2 linked regions of the Cricetulus griseus genome follow. The protein of the gene in region 2 interacts with the protein of the main gene of each other region in a pairwise test. Links are inferred from orthologs where the notes say so. Each region holds a gene or a part of one and is shown on either strand. Other genes may lie near its edges.

Region 1 (4,774 bases), about 2.6 Mb from region 2:
GAACCACAGAATGGTTGATAATGCACAGAAACCTTAACATCCTTCGCAGAAAACATTAATAAGGGCAGAAGCATCTTCTGAGACCAAGTGATTTTTGCTCTACAAAGAGAGCATCAAGAAGCTTGGAGGTGAAGGTACCTTTCCTAAATGGTCATGCTGTCAAAGTGTCTTCTAGATGTTTATGCTTATGCCCATAGATCAGGGCTGCTTTCAAACGTAATCAGGGAAGCTTCTTGGTGCAGTGGGCAGCAGTCAATACAGAGACTCCTAACTGGTCAGTGCTGGAAGTGGGGGGGGAGGGAGGGGGCAGCTGGGTGCTCAGCCCTAGCAGGGACATTTGTATCACCAGCATCCAGACTCAGGGGATACAGTGAAAGAGGCGGCAGAAAGTTTCTGAGCCAGGATGGGAAGAACTGCTATGAAATGCTATCTTCTGGACATGACATGACTGTAGCACTCATGAACCCACAGACTAGAATCTAGTCAGTCGGCATTCCATGACAGATGGGCGAGGGTTCATGAGGCTCCGGCCCTAGATGAGGAGCTATTGGCAGTTGATGGCTTCTAGGACAGAGGGAATCTTTTTTCTTCCTTCTGGACCTGGTAGCCTGCCCGTGTTCTCGTAGATGGCCCCATACTCATTTGCATGCATACTTATTAGACTCAGTGGTTATATAAGTTTTTTTTTTCCATTCATTTATTTAGCTCATAAATAAAGTCATGCACAATTATGATACATAATACAGTATGTTCACAATGGCATGGCTAAATTAAACCAATTAACATGTTATATCACACATATTCATCATTTTTGTTTTGAGAACACTTAAAGTATACTATCTCACAAGAGGGTATATAAGATTGTTAAAGAGGAAAATAAAAGAAAAAAAGAAGACATGAAGGTGCAAAGGGGGTAGTATTAGAGGCTACATGATGATAGTGGAGGGAGGATATGGGTCAAATATGATCAAGATACATTGTGGATGTGTATGAAACTGTCAATGAATAAATAGAGATAACCCAGAAGAAGCAAAAGCCGTGGCAGCGACACAAAGGTGAAGTTGCAAAAGGATCCCAGCTATTAAGCGCCAAGGCCTCAATTAGAGAAGTCTTTGAACCTCAACCCAGTCTTCTTGGCATTGCAGGGCTCCAAAAGGGCAGCAGCCTGCCTGTGGTTTGAGAACACTGCCATAATAACAGCATCATCCAGCATCTCACTTTCACTACATACCAGGGTAGCCCTGTTTTACAGTGGTTAGCCCCGAAGGACTGAAAGGCACAAGGATTTGCTCCGGTCCCCTGGAAAATGCCTTCTTTCTTGGAACTCAATGCTCACGTAAGACTGCTCTGTTGACAACCCAGCTACCGAAAAGAGCCAGGGAGTACCTGAGTCCAGAAACAGATCTCCTAACTAAAGGAAGGGAGCTGCCTGTGACTGCTGTTCGGCTTTGAACTCTTCAACAGGGAGCATCCCCCTCACCTCACTCCCCACCCCCACCCACCACCAGAGTGAGCTCCAGTTTCCCCACCTATAAAGCAGAGACAAGTAAATTTTGCACTTTAGTTAACCAGGATGCCCCGAGGCTCAAGCATAAAAGAGCAAATTGGGGCAGAAGCTCACTCCCACTACATAAGTGACTGCCCATTCCTTCTCTGGCTTCTAAGCCTACACTGCAGCCCAGTACCCAGAGCATATGACCAGTGTCAGGAAGACCTCACTCTAGCAAGGGAGGAGAAAGTAAAGCAATTACAATACCAACCCACTGGTCTCCAACATTTCTATTTTCAAAAGAAAAAAAAGCAGTCATTAGCATAACACTTACTACTTATTAAGTCCTAAATCATACAAAGGGCTCCCCTGTGGGCTTGCTTGCTTTTAGCTGATACAACTACTCATTTTACAAATGACAAAACTTAAGCTTGGAGTTTAAAGGGTAACCAGTAAGCAGCAGGGCCAGGCAGGACAAAGCCCCAGTGCTAATGCAGACTAATACTTCCCAACTCTAAGGAGCTCACTAATCACCTAGTTAGATTCAGTGAGACCTTCACCAGGTCTTGACAGGGGGTGAGGGGAGGGGCCTAAGCTGATGCACTTCTAGGGTGGCAGGTAGATAGGACTTCGAGTATCCAGGGCTGGGCTTTACATTCCATTAAGGGGCATCCTGTATCACTGGATGGGTCTCCAAAGTTTCACACTAGCCCAGTCCCGTAGAATGTACTCAATGACTTACTAATTGAATCTAGATCTCAAAAATTCATACTTCAGCACTTCCCTATATCAAGTCCCATTGTGTCATTCAGTCTTCCTAACAGACCTATAGGAGGTGATTCTCACTTGACAGACAAGGAAACAGACTGAAAAGAGTAAGCGACCTAAGCTTTTTAGCTGTTGTGCGGCAGAGACGACCACAGCTGTCTCAGGGGATGTAAGGAAAAAAAAAAATTAGAGACCACCGGATGGCAGGAAGGGAGCCCATCCCAGCACCTGACAAGCTCACAGCTCCAGAGGTCACCCGGAACTCTCAGCTACGCCGGGGATGAGGTAGCCCTGCCCGGTGCTCCAGGAGGGAAATAAGGAAGAGGAGAGGAGGCCGATTTGGGGCACAGTGCCAGGCGGCAGAAGGCAGCTGGTGAGGTTGAGTCCCCTGACTTCACCATAACATAAGCCCCACTGATTTCAATTACCGGGGTGGATCCAGCTATGGAGGAACCCTGTCCAGCTTGAGGGGGGAGGAAGGGGAGCAGGGATGAGAGGGTTACGGGCGTAGAGGGAAATCGCTGCTAGGTGATGAATCACCGAGCACATGACCCTGCAGGAGAGGGGAGGGTACAGAGCTCCGCGGGATGAGGCGGGGGCTTAAGGAGTGAGGCCTAGCTCGCAGAGCACCCCTGCGGCCTGGATGAGGGGCTAAGGGAAGCCCCCCTCCCGCGCCGCTCCTCCTGGCGGCGGATCTCCGCAGCCCCCAGGCGCTCCAGATCCCCAGGCGCAGCAAACTCACGGCCTTCAGCTGCTCCAGCCGGTCCTTCATCCTGGCCCAGGTGCGAGCGGCGGGCACCGCGTCCCAGGTGAGCGCGTCCCAGGTGAGCGGCAGCGGGTGCCGGCCGGGGCGAGGGAGCTGCTAGCGCAGGCGGAGGCGGGCGGCGGCCGCTCACGAGGAGGAGCGTCCGAGGCCACCGAGGTCCGCCGCGCCGCCCCCTCCGGCCCCCGCCGGCGCCGCGCTCCAAATCCGGCTCCCAGACCAGCGCCGGCTCTGCGCCCGCCCGCCCCTGGACCCGCCCCGTACCTGGGCCGCGCCCCGCGCTCCTGCTTAAAGGGCCCGCGCGCGATCCAACGTCACCGGCCCGGTGTGTCATAGCATCCACGGAAGCAGAAGCATTCGGGGTTCCCGGCCCCGCCCGCCGGGCAGAGAAAAGGAGAAGGGATCTGTCCGGCTTCGATTCCGTATTCTCTGTACTGCCCATGTTGTCCAACCCTTCGCGGACTAGTCCGGTTAAAGACAAGCTGGCTCCTGCTCCCTTTGATGGGGGGAAATGTTCCGATGATGCTCAAGAGATACTCTGCCTCAAAGAAAGGAGCTGCGAGGTACAGAACTGCAAAGTCCGGGCTCAGAGACCTGGAGATGAGACGCAGTGGGTTGGGCTGCGGCGAGGAATTTGGGGGAGTTATGCTGTTGGTGGCCACAGGGCCTCTTGGAGACGTGTAGGCGGTTCGGTCACCTTTTACTAACAATTTGAATAACTGTTAGGGAAGTCCTGTTCCTTTAGAGGATTCTGTTCCCATAGCCATAAATCAGAAACCACTTAGCAGTTTGCTGCGAAGCCTGTGAGAGAAAGAAGCAACTGACTTGTAACTGCAGGACAGGGTTGGTTTGGAAAACTTAAACTCCACCCATCCCCTTGCTGTAAAGAGGCTCCGGATTTGAAGAACTTTTTTAGAGAAGTGTGGTTCCTCTCACCATCCTTCCCTCTTCAACCGTGCCCCTACCCCCGTCTCCTCCCTGTCTGATTTTGGGCATATCAAGCGGGGTGGTGGTCAACAATTGGAGCCAGCGAAGACTGGGAAGGATCTTGCTCTTTGCGTTCAGTTTTAAAGGTCGTAGATACGTCAGTTCTAACCGAACTTTGCCCTCTGCGATGTGCACTCTCCTACTGATTTCCTCCGCTGCCATAAAGACCGTCAAGTAAGGCAGGGCTTGGGCTGTGTGGGCCAGCCCTGCAGTTCTCAACTCTAATCCCTTTTCTCGCGTCCTTCTGCCGCTGTGCCCCATGCGGACTGCGAGGGCTTTCACGCCCCCTGGCGGTCGTAAACCCTATGGCTGGGGTTGAACCTCCTGCCTGGCATACACCTGGAAAACATTCTACCACTGAGCTCCCTCTAGCACCAGTCCTTTTGTTTTCTTCTAACTTTCAGACAAACGCTCCCTAAATTGCCCAGGCAAGCTTTGAACTTGCCATTCTCCTGTTTTAATCTCTCCAGTAAAAGGGATTACAATGAAACACTCTTATTGAAGTGTAGACTTCTGAAGTCTGGGCAGAAGTGTAGCAGTAAGGAAGGAGGAAGGATTCATTTTGAAGCAAGAACCAAGGAGTCCTGTTAATACATAATTGCTTTCGGGCGGAGATGGCTCAGCGGGAAAGATCACTGACGGAAGGACCTAGATTCAATTCCCAGCATCCACATGACTCTCAACCTCCTGTAACTCCAGTTGCAGGGGATGCATCGCCCTCTTCTGGCCTCTACAGGCACTGCACAATGTGGTGTACAGGTATCTGG
Region 2 (4,002 bases):
CTGGAGTACTGGGATTAAAGGCATATGCCACAACATCCATTTCTCATAAAATTATTAAATTTTTTAAAAATTAGATTCATTCATTTTTTTAAAACTTAGTTAATGTGTTTTGCATGTTTTACATCACTTGCACAGGTTATCTGTGGAGGCCAAAAGAGGACACTGAATCCCCTAGAACCAGAGTTAAAGATGGCTGTAAAACACCATGTGGGTACTAGCAATTGAACACAGGTCCTCTGGAAAAATGAACAAGTTCTCTTAACTTAATGCTGAGCCTTCTCTTTTAGTTTTTGAAATAGTGCTTGACTACACTTATAAAACTGGCCTTGGACTCCTGGGCTCAGACAATGCTCAAGAAAGGTCAGCACACTGTGCTCCCTTCTCAGCTGTGTTTTGTTTTTATAACACTTTTATTTATTACTATGGAGGGAGAGGCACAGATGTAGCAGAAAGAAGACAACTCTGTGGCATTGGTCACTCCTTTCTGATTGCAGTGATCAAACTCCTGTCACTAGACTTATGCAGAAACTTCCTTTATCCATTGAGCCAGCCAGCTGATTCCACCAGTTGCTTTCTTTCCCTTTTTCTATGATTCTGAAGACTGATCCTAAGCCTTCATATATAGTAGGCAAACTCTCTACAACCAGGCTGTATTTCCAGGCCCTCGGTCTTTTTTTTTTTTTTCTTTTCTATTTATTTATTTTTGTTTATTTGTTTTTCCAAAGCAGGGTTTCTCTGTGTAACAGCCCTTGCTGTCCTGGAACTAGCTCTGTAGAACAGGCTGGCTTTGAACTCACAGAGATATGTCTGCCTCTGCCTCCCGAGTGCTGGGATTAAAGGTGTGCACCGCCACCACCTTTTACTAAAAAAAAGAAAAAAAAGGGGGGGGGGGTCTCAGGCTGGAGAGATGGCTCTCACTGGTTAAGAACACTAGCTGGTCTTCCAGAGGTCCTGAGTTCAATTCCCAGCAACTACATTGTGGCTCACAACCATCTATAATGAGATCTGGTGCCCCCTTCTGGTCTGCAGGGAAATATGCAGACAGAAAACTGCCCCACCCCCACCCCCACCCCCACCCCCACCCCAAAGGGTCTCTCTATGTAGCCCTCTCTATGGAACTCACTATGTATACTAGGCTAGTCTCAAACAAGAGATCCGCCTGCTTCGATTAAAGGTGGCACTACCATATCAGGCCCTCAAAAAACTCTTACTGAATGAGTAGAAGCAGGTGAATTAGGACTCATGGGAGGGAAGGATTCATTCATTCTTCAAAGACCACCAAGCTGCCCCTGGGAACTTCAAGATGCTAATCCATGAAGAAGAGAAAGTTCTAATACATGGGTGAGAGTGTCTTACCTCTGAATAGTTTCCTCCTGTTCTTTCACCATGTGTGCCAACTGCTGAAAAATGGAGCCCAGCTCAACGATTGTAGACTCGATGTTCTGCATGGTATCTGCCCGGCTCTGGATGTAGGAATCCTTCACAAGAGAGAGCACCATGAACTAGGGCCTGGGTTTTTAAGATCTTTTCACCATGACACACTCCAAACACTCTGGGGAACACAGAAGACAGAGGAACTGATCCTCCTGATTTCAGAGCCTGGGTACCTGCTCGTCAATGAGCTGAAGCTGCTGGCTTGTTCTAGAATCCATCATGTCGATGGCCACATCCCTGGAGGCTCGGGACTCTGCTCCCAAAACTATGGGTCCTCCCCCTAGGGAAGAAATAAGACGTGGCACATTTTAATGATTAAAAGCAGGTTCAGGGCCTGGCATGGTGACACATGACTTTAATCTCTGCATTCCTGGGGCTTAGGCAAAAGGATCTCTGAGTATAAGGCTAATCTACATAGTGAGTTCCAGGACAAGACTACAAATTGAGACCCATTCTCACAACAACAAAATGCCATGCAAGCAGTGCACAGTGGCATATACCTGTTATACTAGCAATAGGGATTTTAAGGTAGGAGGGTCAGGTCAGTCAGTCCTCAGCTAATGACAAGCTAGAGGCTAGCCCAAGCTACATGAAACCCTAGCTCTAAAAACAAAGCGAACAAAACACATTCAAAACTCACTGGCACTAGGTTTAAATCCAGCTCTAGATAGACTAACCTCTCTGAATCTCAATTTCCTCATCTGTAAAATGGAGCTAACAATAGTTGCTTTCTAAGGATGGATGAGAAAATTAAGAGAATGTGACTGACTACACAAAAAGTCAGACACTGTCATTCTTCTGAATATGTGAGTGTGGATCATGAAACTTTAGAACCAGGTTTATCCTCTGAGATAATGCCTAGCACCATCCTGGCTCTTCCATTCTCCTGCTCCACACCTACCAGCGCAGTCAGAAGACCTTAGCTCCTAGGCTTCCCATATTGCCTCTGACTTACCAAGGTGGTTGGGGGCAAGGGGCAGGGCCGACACTGGTGTCCGGGAGAACTGTTCCCGACGGTTCCTCTGTTGTTTCAGGTTCTGATGTTGGGGGGAAATGCAAAGGTCCTGAGTCTCTGGAAAGTGGGTATGTTGACCCCATGACTCTGGGTAACTTGTCCCTTCCCCTTTTCCTCTTGGTCCATATCACAGATTCCTACCCACCTATAGATCCAACTTACCTCAGTCCTCACTTCTAAAACTGATTTGAAGTCATTGGACATGGAAGCCAGTTTTGACTATAAAAAGCAAGGAAATTTGGTCATTCAAAGAAGATACTTTTTGTTATCCCCTTCCTTACTCCCTCCATCCCCAGGGTCCCACCTGCAATGAAACTACAATGGTGTTGGAATGTGTCTGCAGATGCCGGCCACTCTGGCTGCCCTTGGCCCTCACAAAATCTTGAAGTTGAGCAATTTGTTTGTTGAGGCTATTGATGTCCTGTTAAAAGACCAGAAGAAGAGTATCAAGCAGGGAGTCTTCAGTCATTGACCCTATCTGTGCCATCTCTGGCAGGGAGGACAAAATAACCCCTACTAGTAAAGTGTCTAGTCAGATCAGGTGGCAACAGGACTCTCCAAACTCTGGTCATTCCTTGCAGAAAAAGGAATGACTTCTCTGCCCTCTTCCTTTCTGCTATACTTTACCCTATGAGGTCATAGAACCCTTCAAAGGCCAAAATCTTGTACCTAGAACATGCTGACAGATTACTTGAATAAAACCCAGGAAAAGGCTCGTTGTGGTGATGCATTCTGATAGGATTTTCTGAAGGAGGTGGAGGCAGGAGGATCACGAGTTCGAGGCCAGCCTAGGCTACACATTGGCCAGGCAGTGGTGGTGCACACCTTTAATCCCAGCACTCAGGGGGCAGAGGCAGGTGGATCTCTGTGAGTTCCAAGGCCAGCAGGGTCTACAAAGCCAGTTCTAGGACAGGCTCCAAAGCTACACAGAGAAACCCTGTCTTGAAAAAAAAAAAAAAAAAAAAGCAGGAAACCGCAAGAAGCAAATTTTTGCACAGAATGTCTAATATTACAAATGATTAGCTGTGATTTATTCAAACTCATATACAGTGACTTCATATCACAGCCATTGTGTCACCTACATCCCATTCTCCCCAATGAGGGCAGAAAAAAACCTGTCCCAGTGTACTATGACCCAGGGAGGTATCAGAGAGGAGGACATGCAAGGCATCAAGAATAGGAGTATGAGAGCCAGGAAGATGGCTCAGCAGATAAAGGAGCTTGTTGCCAAGCCTGGAAACCTGAAAACCACCCCAGGGACTCATACAAGAGAAAGAGATAACCAACTCCACATGCATGCCATGGTACTCAGGCACCACCACCCAAAACCACAATATAACTTAAAGTTTTAAAGTATGCTGGACGGTGGTGGCAGCACTTGGGAGGCAGAGGCAGGTGGATCTCTGTGAGTTCGAGGCCAGCCTGGTCTACAAGAGCAAATTCCAGGGCAGACTCCAAAGCTACACAGGGAAACCCTGTCTCAAAACACCCCCCCAACACTCCGCCCCCCAAGAAAAATCTTTAAAGTATGAGAAATTGATCAAAGATAAAAT

What was found. The genes of interacting proteins can lie anywhere in the genome.
Region 1: the proteins of Stx5 (region 2) and Stx3 interact in binary tests that used the Homo sapiens proteins (3 or more experiments, as listed by UniProt). The link is inferred for Cricetulus griseus from reciprocal best matches to the Homo sapiens genes STX5 and STX3.

The regions. Positions count from the first base shown.
Region 1 is NC_048596.1:48,783,450-48,788,223, reverse strand, and holds the start of Stx3 (syntaxin-3), read right to left. Parts: upstream 3,180-4,774; 5' UTR 3,030-3,179; coding exon 3,000-3,029; intron 1-2,999. UniProt on the Homo sapiens protein: Potentially involved in docking of synaptic vesicles at presynaptic active zones. Apical receptor involved in membrane fusion of apical vesicles.
Region 2 is NC_048596.1:51,348,246-51,352,247, forward strand, and holds part of Stx5 (syntaxin-5), read right to left. Parts: intron 2,871-4,002; coding exon 2,754-2,870; intron 2,669-2,753; coding exon 2,612-2,668; intron 2,472-2,611; coding exon 2,390-2,471; intron 1,715-2,389; coding exon 1,608-1,714; intron 1,479-1,607; coding exon 1,357-1,478; intron 1-1,356. UniProt on the Homo sapiens protein: Mediates endoplasmic reticulum to Golgi transport.